Linked DNA regions of Oreochromis niloticus. The protein of the gene in region 1 purifies or fractionates together with the protein of each later gene. This does not show direct contact. Links are inferred from orthologs where the notes say so. Each region holds a gene or a part of one and is shown in the gene's direction. Other genes may lie near its edges.

Evidence for each region. The genes of interacting proteins can lie anywhere in the genome.
Region 2: the proteins of etv6 (region 1) and lrp6 purify together in Homo sapiens (affinity purification with mass spectrometry; 3 studies listed by BioGRID and IntAct, counting the BioPlex papers as one, with this or other methods). This does not show direct contact. The link is inferred for Oreochromis niloticus from reciprocal best matches to the Homo sapiens genes ETV6 and LRP6.

Annotation. Positions count from the first base shown.
Region 1 is NC_031981.2:3,497,444-3,505,218, forward strand, and holds the start of etv6 (transcription factor ETV6), read left to right. Parts: upstream 1-4,423; 5' UTR 4,424-4,805; coding exon 4,806-4,835; intron 4,836-7,775. UniProt on the Homo sapiens protein: Transcriptional repressor; binds to the DNA sequence 5'-CCGGAAGT-3'. Plays a role in hematopoiesis and malignant transformation.
Region 2 is NC_031981.2:21,753,591-21,761,575, reverse strand, and holds the start of lrp6 (low-density lipoprotein receptor-related protein 6), read left to right. Parts: upstream 1-4,516; 5' UTR 4,517-4,915; coding exon 4,916-4,970; intron 4,971-7,985. UniProt on the Homo sapiens protein: Component of the Wnt-Fzd-LRP5-LRP6 complex that triggers beta-catenin signaling through inducing aggregation of receptor-ligand complexes into ribosome-sized signalosomes.

The DNA of each region.
Region 1 (7,775 bases):
GCAGATATCAGGTTTACAGGATAAAAGAGTTTGAAATCCTGCCTCCACCTGAGCTGTCAGATGGCCAACTATAACTCTGACATTAACTGTGTGAAAAGCTGCAGAATTCAAAATTCACCAGAGAATAACTGAGTGAGAGGGAAACCAATGAACACTAGGCAGATGGCTTTACATGTGTAAAGTGTAGAAGTAAATTTAAATCTAATTTGATATACAAAGGTTATAAAGGTAGTTATGTAGCTATTTGGTGGTTACGTGTTTTGATATTTACATGTTTACACGTTTGAATGGTTAGACATGCATGTTCAAACCAGTAATAAGTATGTGTTATATCTACCTAGTTGTTTTCCCTGTTTTGATCTGAGTATAAGATTTCCTGGCTTCTGAGAGGCCAGTGAAGTATTCATGAGGGCGGCACACAGGAAGTGTGGGTTTGTTGTTGTTGCTGTGTGCTGAGAGTAAAGAGGCTGCTAAAAAGTTATCCGTCTCCCTCTTGCTGTTCCTAATTATTCAGAGAGATTCCAAACCATCTAGTGAACCCTCACGTTACACATGTTTACGGTGTGCAGAGATAATAATACCCCAATACAGTAAACTCGATTATTTACTTTAAGTCTAGTACATTTACCTGAGCTGACTGAACTCACACAATCCGAAGAGGAAGTTTTTACACAGGTGCAGACCCTTGCATGTCCCCGGGCAATCTTTCACTCTGCAAAGTCTCAGGTGGGTCCTGGCCACCACCTTCTCCTGTCCGTTTGGACAACAACGAGCAAATTTCTCTCGGTTACAAATGATCTCCGACAACTTCGTGGGATCGCCGGAAAATAGATTACATACTAAATCCTCAGTTTTGATTGCTCCTTGATTGGCGCAGATCCTTTTCAGTATTTCTGTCTCCATCGTGTCCGAGCTCTGCCTGCGTTTCCTTCCGCCTGTGAGACCAAACCGCAGCTTGACGACAGCGGACGATGGCTTCATGTGAGGAAGAAAACTTCGGCATCATTTCTGATGATTGGAAAGCGAAACTGAACTATTTTTTTTTTTATCTTGGACTGATGCTGTAATGCTGCTGATTTCCACTTGGGGGAGTCACCGTGCTGTATGACCTCCTAATGCAGCCTACACCTCGACTGAACATGGAAAGAAAGAACGGCTTTCTTCTGCTTCACAGCTGAACAGAGTGAAGACATTTCCAGTAATGCTATAACAAAAACAAGCCTCATTAATTTTATCTAAATGCTTTCTGTATTCTTCTCTTCAAAGAGTCTGTAATCAGATTACTGTGTTTTTACAGTAGGTGTTTAAGATTACATATGCCACTTTTAAAAATCCGATTATTGTAATCCCATTAATGCCATCTGTTAGTCCCACCAGCTGGAAACATGCAGCAGAACGGCTCCTGCCTGCAGTTTGTTTCCATCTCAAACATGCAAAAAGAAGGATTGGGCTTATTGCCTATTATAATAAATTTGTGCTGTATTTTTAACCAGAAATTCATGTAAAAACTTACTATCGACTTTTAAATTGTTTTTCTCATTTAGATGAACTTCCAGCACATTATAACGGATATGTTTCATTAGCACTGGAAACCAGCTCACCAGGTCTTAGCCTCCAGCAGCAGGAGGAACATTTAAAGTTCCCCGGCATCACTCATCTGCATTTTCTTGTTAACGTGCAGCACATTCCCCACCAGCTTCATTGCTTCCTGTCCCCCTCCCTTACTCCGAGGAGAATAAACATGTTGGAAGTGATTTTTCCATTCCTTCGCCCCCCCCCTTTTTTTATTGCCTGTCACTTCTTCCACCATCTGCTGCCACCAGAAACTATTATGCTTGTTACTCTGAAAAAGCCACATTTTTCTTTAGTATCATAAAGGAATACAGACAAATCTGACCAAGAGGATCACAATGACCAGGTTAAGTAGCCTGCTCTATAGTCACTTGGTCAAGAGTCTAAGATGCATAGCACCATACTTGATTAAGATGTTTAAACTTATTTTACAGTAACTATATCCTATATAATCTATCAGTTTCTTTCTTCAAATATCAACTGGATTTTGCCTATCTGGGGGCAGAAAAACAAGCTATTAGTGCTTACAGATGACTAATAACAATGACCAACTGTAGTAAATCCAGTAGTTCATTCTAGTATTTTGGACTGCTAACCCAAATATTCTGGAACCAAATGAAATCAAAACACTAAAAAAGGCTAAAAAAAAGAAAAGAAAAAGAGGCTAAGCATTTTATGTGGCTGAGGAGAACTGCAGAGTGATGTTAATTATCAGTGTATTTGTCATTACTTCATATTACACATACCCACTGTGTGCACTGAGGTTTGACCACCACTGATATGATTGGGAACCACGCTTGTCTTCCATTTTGAATGGAAGCGTATTCCCCGACCAGCAGGCGAAAACCTATTTGGTCTTGTTTTGTTTGCTAGGAGAATGTTGGAACCCATAGTTTGAATGGACGACACCAACTTATAAGCAAACACTTGCCAGTAGAACATGCCTGATATATTGGTAGGGGATGCTATATGTGGATGATAATTGACCAATATTAAAATAAATAATAATAATAAAATAAAAGAAGATTATTTTTCACTGTCACTCTATATTTGTAAAGACTCATAAACAGCAGGACATAATGAATGTTAAGAAACTTTATGTGGTGCCTGTGTCAAGGAAAAAAATAGAGAGTGATATATCAGGTTTTTAAAGTGCTAAATATCAGTATTGGTCTTAAAAATCCTATATCAGCCTGACTCAAGTCAAATCTTCAGTTGGTAGTGAAACTGTGAAAAGTGCAAGACAAACCAGAAATGGAGAATTTCTAGAAAACACTCACAAACTGCTTATACCAATAGGGGTTCAGTAGGAAGATGTGTAGAAAATAACAAGAGATACTGCCTGATAACTGATTTAGACTTCTGCATTGGATCTATGTGACTCTATGAATCTCTAATGACTCTAATAATTTACAGAATGAATGTCATAAAGACATCAGAAAAATGTGTTTACTGATGTCACGGTGCAGGGGATCTCTGTTGGTGCATCCCATTTGAAAAACTGAATTTTTGAGTTCCCAGTTGAAATTTTCAGCTGGAATGCTCACTCAAGCCGGACTTCCAGCTTAGAAAGTCAAAGCAGCACCAATGCCCACTTAATAAAAGAAGATCACAGGAGTGCACGTAAGCTTTAGTAAAACTGGAATACTTGAAAAGTGCACCACTGATCTTCGGCATTTGTGACTTGCTAAATAAGCCACACATTTCCTTGCTTTTTTGACTTCATTACTGGAATGCTCTTAACTCAGTGTTACATAACACCGACTCCAGCATCTGACTTCAGAGCTAAATGGTATGAATCTGCAACCAAGGGAGTAGAGTGTAAAAGAGTAAGCCACGATAAGTTACGACACTAAAACGAAATTTTCAAACTGCATTGTCATAACCCATATTAGATTTTTAAATCTCTAAATATCCGTTCAGAGGAGTAGCCCCCTGCTGGCCATTGGAAAGAATGCAAGTGGAACACACTGTTTGTGTAACATATCATGGTGTAGTCCTGAAAAAGTTAGAATTTCTGAGTTCCCACTTGGAATTTCAATATGGAATGCCCCCCTCAAGTCAGAGTAGCACCAGCAGTTAACCTGAGTAGCACTGAGCTTAAATGGTAGTGAAACCGTAAATCTTTTAATCTGTGCTTCCAATGTTGTGCATGTGTGACTCACTGAATGCAGGGATGATTTTAGCCAAAAATAAAAGAAGTAGAATGCTGTATTGGCTTTAGCTTGCTAAGCACCAAACAAATGCTGTTTTTCGTCTCTTTTTCCAGATACAGAGCTCTGAGGTAGCTATGTCCATTTTCAACATACAGTCTGTGTACTATACCTAAATGCTTTTTCTCATAAAGCTAAAAAAACAAACATAAAAAACCCAAAACAGCCCATTGAGGTGTGGCCTGTTAATTCTTAGAATCACTTGACAAAAAATACTTTAAAACTCTTTTTAGTCTTATATTTGTTTCTTATAGTATTACTACAGTCACACCTTGCGTACAAGGGCTTTACAAAGTACGAGTATGAGCAGAGGCGACTTTACAGTAAATGTGAACTAATTCATCTCATATTACATCCTTGTATTTTTGTGCCGCAGTCTGTCTAATTAAAGCGTGAGGTTTTAGCATATTGTGTAACCGCATTTGCCTTAAGCTTTGATTTAAAAAAAAAAAAAGAAAAGGCAAAAAAGAAAAAGAAAATCAGTCTGTCTTTTTAGCCTCTTCGCCTGCAGTTGTGTGTGTAGCTACGCGACCTGCCTGCGATTTCCTGCTTTGGGTTTCCCTTTAAAAGGGGGCAAGGCTCAATGCTGGGAATTCACGTCATTTCGCCGTTTTACACACATCCAGATCAATGAGAGAGAGAGAGAAAGAGAGAGAGTGAGAGAGAAAGCGAGAGAGAGAGGTGTCCGTCGAGCTCGCTCTCTCTCTTCGGTCTCGCTCTTCCAGGAAGGGATTATTAACCAGCGCGCTGCCGACATGTGAAGGGAAAACACACGCAGACAAAAGAAGTTTTCACACCGACGACCACGCTATGGACCCGGCCAGCAAATAAAGGAAGGAGGAGGAAGGAAAAAAAGGAAAAGAAGCGGGCTACATGAAAAAAACAACTTCTCCCACAAACACAAGCCGAGCAGTCGGGCTGCCGCTCGCGCTGCAGCTGTGCGGGTTTCTATAAGAAAGGAAAGAAGATAAAGAACAGCGCGCGACGGAAAAGTGGACGGAGAGAAGTTGACTGGAGATAATGTCTGAATCCTCCTCCGCTGCGAACAAGGTAACACTGTCCGCTCACCCCCCAACCCCCTTTAACGCACTCCCTCGTTTGTCTTCAGGAGACAATTTCAACTGTTTGGTTTGAGTCTCCGCTCCGTGTGATAGAGCCGCCAGGGTTGTATCACCTCCTGCAGACGGCTGTACAGCGCCATTCAGTTTGTTTTGCTAGTCATCTGTTGCTCGCGGCTCCACGCTCTGAGTTCGCCTCCACTCTGCTCATGATTGGAAGAAGTCGTGACTCTGTGTGACTGTTTGAATTACCGACCCCCCTATAAAAGTAAGCAGAGATCGGGGGGCGAACGAGTTGCAACCTACCTACATGTATGTGCAGCATCAGTAAAAAAGCTTTTTTCCCCCTTTAACTATACGAGCTGGAGGTGGGTGTTAGGACTGCAACTGAAGCAGAATTTGATGGATAAAGAAATGCTTGTTCTAGAGCTGAACTGAACCATACATTTAAAGACAGTGTACTGGGGAGGGGGGAATGGTTGATGTTTTCCTGCCTTTTTTTTTTTTTTTTTAGCGACGAGGAATTCATCAAAAACATAAATCAAAAAGGGAAAGGGTGCATTAGAGGTGCATGCATCCTTATGCAACATGATTTCATGCAATTATTTTTTTTTCTGATAGCAACTGTTTGCAGGCAAATGCAGGCATTTAAAAAAGTGCACCAATTGTGACATTTTGGGCAGATACGGATACCAATACCGATATTTTATATATTTATTTTAAAAGTGTTTTTTGTCCTCTGGGGTCCTCAGTGGAAATAAAAGAAAGAAAAATATTAATAAGAAATGACTTGTGTGTTTTAAAGGCCTTCACACAAATTTTGAACACTTATTTTATCCACCAACATAACATAGCTAGCTAACTACAAACAACAAACCGATACTGATGCTAGGTCAGTGTTGACTCTGTTTTTGTTTGTGTGTTTTGTCTGAAGAAATTAGATTCCAACTGATTTATCTGTTGGCTGATACTGGGCTATATTAGCTATTTGCTGGTCTATTGGAATTTGCATTAAAAGCAGCTGATTAAAAAAAATTTAAGCTGTGTCCACACTGGAAGTGATTTGCTTATTGCACATAGTTTTAAAACTGGTGCTTGGTTACTTGTGGACATTCCAGGCTCCGGTTTTCTAGGTAAGTGTTTAATGCATTTACTACCAGATTATAAGTCACTCAGTGGTATTCTGCGTTTTCGCTGATAGTCACTTTAATCGCTCGCCTAAAAGTTGAGCCTATGTTCATTCATTCTGCACTTTGAATACCTACAGCGTGTACACAGCTTAAAGATGAGAAACACCCTTAAAACATGTTGCGAGTGCTGACATTTCATAGTGTGACCTCTAGAGGGCACTCTGCATTTTAAAAAATGTTAAAATCGCCAAGTATCGCTATTGATTCAAAAGAAATAAGTGAACTATAAAGACTTTATTACGCTGTTGTCAGACATTTAGCAAATGTAAAACTGATAATAAAAGTAAATGTCATTGACTGTCATCAGTTTCGGTGAATGCGGCCAATATCAGCTGATATATCAGTGCGTCTCTAATATTTTGGCTTTTGTAGCCGTTGGTCATACTACGTATAAACAATTTAAACCCACTTTGTGCTTGCCAAGAGCATGTTGTGATCTGTGTGATCCATTGATTAATCAGTAATGAAGATGATACACTGTTGCAGCATGAGGACAAGGAGACAATATTGATCAGCAGAGACTGAATGCTAAAAATAGCTGATTAACCTGCAACAATTTTCAGATCCGATTATTGTTTTTGTCACACTAAAACTGGCTCTGTGCTTTTATTTTTGGACATTAGTCAAAAATCCAAGTCTATCACTGTAACTGGGACATGTAATAATAGAAATATTATTTGAGGTGCCAAGGTCAGACTGAAATAGCTCAAAGCAATGCGCACTGTCCAGTAACTGAAAAGGAAAAACGATGTTTTGTTTGTGAGGGATGTCTGCTCATTACTGAGTCTGATGTCAGGGCACGATTCCCGAGGAATGATCAGAACTTCCCTCTGAGAACTTTTACCGTCAGAGCGAGACAGGACGACTCCCCCTCACCTTCGGCTCTGTTGCAAATCACTTTCCGTTGGTCCCAGAGGTCGCGTTTTCACAGACCCAGGCAAAGCTGTGTGAAGACGCAGGCAGCTGAATTTTTAGACAGCTGAATGTCAAGAGAAAGGCCTTCTGCCTGTGAGAGGAGGAAATAGAAGACTGGAAGATTATTGCTGGGGTTCCACAGGAAATTCCTGGTACATGTAGTTGTTGTGCAGGTCTCAAAGTAGCTGGGTGGTGACAACAGGCTGGAAGGTGAAACGGCAAGAAAAAGAAAAACAAAAAAAAAAACTAACTAAAAAAACCCCTGAGCTTCATTTCCTCAAGAAACTTAGGTGGAATCATGCTTTGCAGGAAAGGAAACCAGTCAACAGAAAATTACAGTTAACTGGAAAACCTCATACCTTTAGCCTACGTTCGGTGCAGGCCATAAACAGTAGCAGAATTCTCATAAAAATGTGCAAATCTTTACATTCGAGGAGCAGAAACCAGTGAAAAACTCCCATTGTTGCCTGACTATTGACTGAGAAATTCTTAGAAGATAGTTTATGTTATTCAGAACTTTGAAAGTCTCGCATTCACCTATGTACTGACTAACCATGAAAAGGATTTTTGTGTTGAAAGGAAAAAAGACATCATTTTGTTATTACATCATTTTAAAGCTTTTGCAAACTGCAGTGAACCATCTGAAAGAAAACAAAGCAAATACACAGAATTCGCTTGCACGTCCATACAAGGACGCTGACTAACAATTGTGTTAATTATGTCCTGATTATTATCTAAAGATATTTATGTGTAGAGTGTCTAAATTCCCAGAAATCACTGAAGAGGATTGTTTCCTAGCAAACAGTGAAAATCCCAAAGATGTTAAA
Region 2 (7,985 bases), about 18 Mb from region 1:
ACCTTAAGTGACCATGTCCATCTTTTATATACAGTCTGTAGGTAAAGTACAAGGATGCCAACCTCATTCCATTTCAGACTCCACCTCCTTAAAGTCATCACGGACCAATCATGGACTTCATACCTTAATTTTTCTGTTATTGGTTTTAACAAAAGAAAAAATGGTAGACTTATATTGAAAAGTTCTCACAATGAAGACAAAATATCTCTTAATTTAAAAACTATTCTTAGAATTTATTTGAGGTGTTTTTATTTTGTGAAAAAAAAATCAAACTTTGAGATATTTTTTTGGCTTTTTTTTTTTTAGATTATTTGACTTCTCATGAGACAAATTCCTCAGTTGTTACTCGATCTTTTTAAGTCTTATTAAGTGATAGTGCAACTTTGAAGCAGCCTTCAGACTTTAGGCGGTAACACTGCCCTTCTGTGGCCTCTCAGATCACATGATGAGCTCAGAGTCCTGCTGGGAAGCTCATTGGTCCAAAACTTCAGCTGACGATGGAACAAAGAACAAACAGCAATATTTTTACTCGTAGAAACTCAGGAAGCTTCTGAAGTGGACTGGCGAGAAGAAACTATACGAGCGGACTCTGATTCAGATTCTGGCCTTCTTCTGATTCGCCACGGGGTCGCGGGGCCCTTTGTGTATACACCTGCATGTCTTCTTCCTCCCACACGCTTCAGCCATACGAGCCTGTGATTGCTTCTTAAATCACCTGACCGGTGTAGATGTCAGACTCACTCTCTCACTGTGGTGTTTTTGTATTTTGTATTTCACATGTGGATAAATATTCAAACGATGGATGCAATCCTTTGAAAATCGATGCACTATTGTATCCTGTTTTTTTTTTTAAATAATTATGATCTGCTGATTGTTTTTCATAAGTAAGAGGACACTTGCTGCGCACTATTTTCCTATAATGACATTTGTATTGTACTGGATGTGCAGAAACGAGACTGCTATAGCGTCACTTCACCACCAGGTGGCAGCAGCAGCAGTCCGATAAACTGAAGCTGCACCAATGAGGCGTTTTCACTGATACTGCTCTGATTTTTACTTTGATTGCCTAATTAATAATTACATGGATGGTAATAGTTTGGTCTTGTTTTGTGAAGTGATGCTTTTGCATAAGTTTGAACTTTGATGTTTTGTTCTTGTAAGGATTAAAAAACTGTTGATTTTTGAACAGTTTCTGAGTCTGCAGATTTATTTTTTCCTGAGTGTGTTTGATTTTAAATAGAACCGCTGTGATTTTGTATCGTCTGGGTGTTCCACCAGCAAATAATCAAAATTAATCTTGTAAAGTTGTTCCAAGTTAAATAAAATTTCACATTTATCACACCATCACATTTATTACTGTTCTGTATTAACCAAACTGGGCGCAGGTTCATTACAACAACAAAAATAATCAGCCTGAATCTGAGAAAAGTTTCCACCTGACCCATCTGTTTTTTAAATCTACAGAAAATTAAATATATGTCATGGAGCCATGCTTCTACCTTCATATAATGTGTATTTTCAGAGTAACTTGCTGTTAAATTTAGGATTTATCTAACTTGTATTATAAGTTTTTGAGCATTTTTACTTCTTTCAGAGCTGAAAAAACACATTTAACCTCTGTTAAAAACTGCAAACAAACTCCCAAAGGTCTCAGTCTTATGTTATTGCAGATTTCTCATAAACTTGAGTGACGTCTTTGGTCGATGCTGTTCTTGATCAAACTTCTTCTCTATCGTGTCCAGCTAAGCTCCATCTTTGGACAAATTCATGGTGCAGGCTCAACAGTTGGGAAGTGTTTGACAATTCCTCAAAATTTCAAGTTTTTATATCACTTTTCCAGATATATTTATGTACGCCGCACAAAAATTATTTTGAAGAAGGCTAAAATTTTTTTATGATTTAGTGAAGAACAATCATAAGCATTTCACAAGTTTCAAAGACCTTTATTGGCCATAAACATGGCTCGGGGCTAATATGTATGCAAAAAGTTAACGTTTACAGTGTCGACCCTTCTGTTTGTCAGTATCTGGGCCCCAGATGGTGATCCTCCTGCTTTATCACAGTTCCAAGATTATCACTGTTTGTCTCAAAAACTAGAATAAAAACATCCTCAGACTTCTTCCAGTGATCCAGGAGCAGTTTGGTGATGATCTTCCAGCAGGATGTCTTTTGTCTTGTGTCGCAAGATAAAAGTGGTAACTAAGAGGCGTCGAGATTATCAAATAAACATTTTGGATCCTTGGCCAGGAAGCTTCCCAAACTTCAAATCAAGAATCTTTGCTCAGCACTGTAATATTTACTATAGTGGACTTAAATCATATATTATACTGACTCTCCTGTGAGTGTTTGAAACTGGATTTCTTACCATTGTTCTTCACTACATCACAAACACGTATAAAAAAAAGCTAGATAAAAAGTGAAGCAGCAAAATGTATAAAACACTAAATATGTGGTACTGCCAAAATCTTTGGTCATGACTGCATAAAAATAAACTTTAATACTCTAATGTGCTTGTGGCCTTCATCGGGGCCATCATAAATATAACAAACATCATATTCATCTAACCAGGAGCATACTTACCTTCTTACCCTTTGAAATGTTGCCTGTGTTTTATGATGACCCCAGTGAAGTCCACAATCTCAACATTTGTAGTAAAGCTGTTTGTTATGCTACAGGTGCTTCAGAGCTGCTCTCAACGCCGCTTGGCAGAAAGTGATCATCTGCTCTGTTTCAGGAATGATTTTGACTCCTAAAGAATCATGGCTAAAAGATGAGCCTGGCATCAAATGTAGGTAAAAAAGAGACCTTTGATATGCTCTGACTTCAGGGAGTAGCCACTGATCACACATGCTGACATGAGTCTTGAAAGTTTACCCAGAATGCACTTTTTAAAGTTTTCTTCATTGAATTATTATAAAAACAGATCAAACATCCATGGTTTCAACACTTGTTCCTGTTGCTCTAAATCCTCATAATAACATTAAATTGGTGCAGTTTATTCAAGTAATGATTTATCTCATGATACTGACACTCGAATGATTCAAGTTTTTAACAGAGCTTAAATGAGTTTTTCAGCACTTGAAATTTCATGTGGATATTCGCCATACTTACAAAAGTATTATCAAGTCTAAACCCAATCCTAAAAACTCAGTCACTGATCAAATAGTGTGATGGATATTGTGGTTGAACTCATGAAAGGGCACGTGATCAGGTAGTTAATATGTTAACAAGTTACCTCATATTCCTGAAACTGTGAGGCAGTTTTGCTGACCTGCTGATTAAACTCTGAAATATTGTAAATGAGATGCTTTCCTTTCCTCTTTGCTGGACATCTGCGTCCGGTCCACCTTGCTTGTAATTTTTCAGCCCTGCTTTCACTTCCACATCTCCCACAGATACATTCATTAGATAAGACAAGAGTGATCCACACTTTATTAAATCAGCAAGAGATTTTAGAAAAGCTGTTACTCTGAAATAGGAAGTGTACTCTGTAATCTGAGGCCTCACATCCTCAGTGAACTTTCTCCCTCTGAAAGCTTTTGAGAAATCTTGCATTTTCTGATGTTTGAAACCTGAAACTGGGGCTGATATTTCATGAATAAAATCTTAATAATAATAATAATGATAATAATGATAAAGGAATAATAATATTGTAAAAAGTGATTATCTACTTTCTGGGCACTGGGATGCTACTTTCATGAAATTAATATAATTAAAAGGTCCCTTTTGGGGTGACCACAGACCACAGGTTATCTGCCTCCATCTCAGACTATCCCCAGCATTTTTCTCCATCATCTCTTCATGTACTACATCCTGCCTGGCAGCTCCATGTCTATCCACCATTTCTTGTCTGCTGTTGCCCATCTCAACCTTGCCTCTCTAAGGCATAAAACATTAAAATGCAAATCAAAAATAGAAAAATGCAACATGTAAACTTTATAGGGTGTAAAGAAACAGAGAAAACCTGAAATCAGATGTTATAGGTCAGTAAAAAGTGTAAAAATCCAAAATTTTGAATCAAAATTTAGAATCAAAAGTGCTTCTGTTCTTTTTCTCTTAAGAAAAAGAACAGAAGCACTGTAAAATCTATTACGTTATGTAGGTTTATTTACAATATCAGTTTTCACACTTTTTAATAATCCACATAATGGCTTTTTTGTGTGAAAATCAAACAAAAGTGTCAGATTAATCTATATCTGTAATTATTGTGGGTTTCTGGTGAAAATGTGTTTCTTCTGATGTTTTATGGCATTACATAGACTTAGATTTTTAAGATATGTTGTGATGCAGAGATTTAACAAACAAAGCTGATTAAAAGCTTTTTACCAAATGACTGAATTTGGTTTAAAAAAGCAGATATAGTATATAACCATTTCCTGAGCCCCCCTTGCCTTGTGCCACCTGATGAAAAACCCCTGGAAACGCCCCTGCCGTTGGATGATATTGGGGCCCTGTTTTCTGGGGCCCCTGTCCGTGTGATAAAGTAGTCCCGCAGGAATGTGGGGTTAACGTCCGTGTTGGGGGGTGGGGTTCTGTGGGGGTTCGAAGTCGGTTCTGCGGGACGTTTCCGTGCTGTGAGCGTACCTGCGGCTGTGAGGCGGAACAACAATAGAGAGCCGGGCAGCGAGGTGGCGGTGGAGGTGGAGGCGGAGGCTGGAGAGGGGGGGCAGCTTCCTCACAGCGGAAGGAGACGACGGAGCTCCTGCAGGACAATGTGAGACACCGAGAGTTTATCCGACGCAGTTAGCGAGCAGCCAGCCGGGATGGAAGCGGGCACGGTGTAATGCGAACCGGAGCCGAACATCGACCTGAATATTCTGGGAAATCCGCTTTTTTTTGAGCCAAGGAAGCGGCCGCAGCAATGGGAATACTCCGCTGAGGAGCCGCCGCGGCTGGGCCGAGAATCGGGAGAAAGATGGGTGTCGCGCTGCGGAGTCTGTTGTTGTGTAGTTTTTGTTTTCTCATACGAGGTGAGTTTGTGTCCACACTGTGACTTTTACCCACACGTCCCCGCGCGTAAAAGACGCGAAAAAGTGGTGTTGGCAGCCCAGGGGAGCTTTTTCCCTTCTCTGTGGATGTTTGGAGCTCGGCCTCCGGGTCGGATTTCTCCCGAGTGGAGCGAGCTAGCTTAGCCTGCTGCTGCTGCTGGAGGAGAAACCACAAACAGCCCTGTTAGCTGGAAAATACCCCACCAGAGACTACTCACAGCACCGCCAGCTTCCCTTCCAGCGCACCCTTTTGTCGCGGGAGTATGTATTTGGCGCAGTTGGTCGCTCCTGGTTGTGTTTTGTAACTTAAAAACAGGCTGGATCGGGCTCAACAGCAGTTAGCATAACAAATGCTAGGGAGCGAGCTGGTTAGCATCAGTGAGCTAATAGCTAATAAACCATCTACATGGAAAAATAACTTTATTGATAACAATGAACAGAATAAAGAAAAGAAAGGCCAATAAATGTAAAGCATTACACACAAAAGAGCAGCTACACGACTGGACACATCTGTGAGAAATGAATTTATTTGTATAAATCTGACACTAAAGAAACAGTAAAACTGCAAAAAAGAAAAGAAAAACCCTCTAAACTCAGATTACACCAGAAATGAAAGCGAACTGCCAGGTGGATCTAAAGGATGTAAAGAATGAGACCAGGACATGAGTCCGAGGTGGATCTCTTTAGAAAAGTAAACCGAATTAAGTAAATTTATGAAGGTGTCATCGCCATTAAAAATGCTCCGTTAAATTTAGTTTAGTGTTTGCTACACAGCGCGCCTGTGCAGTAGAGCAGAAATACTATATCACAGCAACTCAGCAGGCCTAACTTTATTTGTGTAGCACATCTCACACGATATCATACAGATCATCATCTTGGCCTGAGGAGCTCCTGATAATATCCAGTAAACACTAGAGGATGAAAAATAAAGCACATAAAGCCATCTTATGTAAAGAAAGTTTATAGGTCAGTGAGAGATGATATTTTTTTAAAAACAGATAAAAAACGTGTTTTTTATCTGTGTTAAAAACGGAAACCGTGTTAAAAACTGAAATACAGCGTAATAACTTACGCTGCCTCCTCTGATTTATTTTCATTTATCATATCACATATTCATTCCACAGGTTTCAGTGTCAAACTGTTACCCAATAATTAGGTGTGTTAAAAATTTGTAAATCAAATATTTTTAAATATCAGGTTTATCTTTTATGTATTTAGTTTTTTTCCCCCCATATTTTTGTGATCAAATTACACCAGAAATATGAGCGTAACAATGGACAATCAGATAAATATACAAAATGCTTTCTTTATCCTATATTTGGTCATTCCTTTTGTTGCAACAGTTAATATATAATAAATTACACATTAAGGATAAAATGAGACCAAAGCACGAATGTAAGGTGTAAGTGTCATTTAAACGAACATTTCTGGATCTTCAGTACCAGAACAAATGTTTAACAGTTGGTTAAATTCAGATTACAGCAAGAATTCAAAGTCCAACTCTGAGTGGGATTAACAGATAAAAGATTTGGCGCTGCATGTTGTCAGTCTTCGTTGTGGAGACACTGGTGTAGTTATCACTCTGTGGGATGGAGATTGGGGGTATTTGATTAGTTTTTATCTTGTTTCTTGTCTTCTGTGACTTGTTTCTATAGACTCTGCATCTGGGATGAATAAACATTGATTCACTGTATATCAGGAATATAAATGACAGAAAAAGTGGGAATGAAAATATATTTGTTTGAAATAAGCAAGTTGTACCAAGGCAACGGAAAAAACACTAATTTAAACTCAGATTATCAAAAATAAAGTTAAACAAAGGCTGTATATAAAAGTATTAAAAAGCAACTGATAACGAGCAAGAAATTTTAGAAAAAATTGCTAGAAAGACAATTTTCTGCGCAAGTTCCATAAAATGAGTTTAAGTCCAAGATTAAAAATATTAATAAAGCAATGACGTATGTAGAGCAGAGAGGCTTCAGGGTGTTCGCGTTGCTCTCTGCTGTGCTGCGGTTCAACACTAGAGCCAAGTTTAAAAAAAGCTGGGTTTAACTAATCCCACCACCTGCACCTGCATGCTCGAGTTTCTTTTTCTGACTCACGACTTAAATGGGACGCGGTGGTAATGCAGCCTGGTGATTGGGTGGTTATTGATCAGATCATACACATACAGGAGTCATTATATATTCTGCCTGAATCAGTTTCTCCATCAATCCCCCCTTATTGATTATTCATGAGTTTTGTTTAGGTTTCAGCTTCACTTAAACTTTATATTTAAATGTGAGTATGAACGAAGGACAAACAGGGTAAGTAAAACTCTTGCAGGTGACTCGTGTGCAAATCTCCACTGTTCTGAAAATATGGCACCACATATGGGTACAGATCCTGTAAATAAGTCCAGCTCTTTGCTGAGTTAGAAGAGTTGAAATGATCATACAGTAATTTGTCACAGTCAAACCCATGAACCGATCGGACGAGTGTCTGTTCACTGTGTGGATGATGACCTCACCAAGCGGCTGAGATGTCGTAGTTCAGGTTGTCTGTTTAACTTTTTCTGCCAAGGATAATTTATGTGCAGTTTTTTGCCACCTCACTGTAAACCAGACATTCCCAAACTTCAGACCGCCCAGTTTGAGTTTAAAAATCTTTGTGGTTCGCCCAAACCTTCAATCACAGCTCAGATCATCACATGCACTGAAAATGAAGGATTTTGTTTGTTCTTTCATTGATTCATTTTGATCTTCTGATTGTTTTTCCAAAAATCAGCCAAATCAAACATGTTGAGCTACACGCTCTCAACCTCTTAGAGACGGCATAAAGTCACTTTACTTTCCAAATTAACTTTTATACTTTCCAACTGATGTTGCGATATAAGATGGGTTCAGACTCAAAGGCAACTCAGAAAAGTAAGACTAATAGTAAGTAATAATATTAAACCCCATTCGCTCAGTTTTTTTTTTTTTTTTTTTTTTTTTAGAAGTAACCTTATCAGATTGA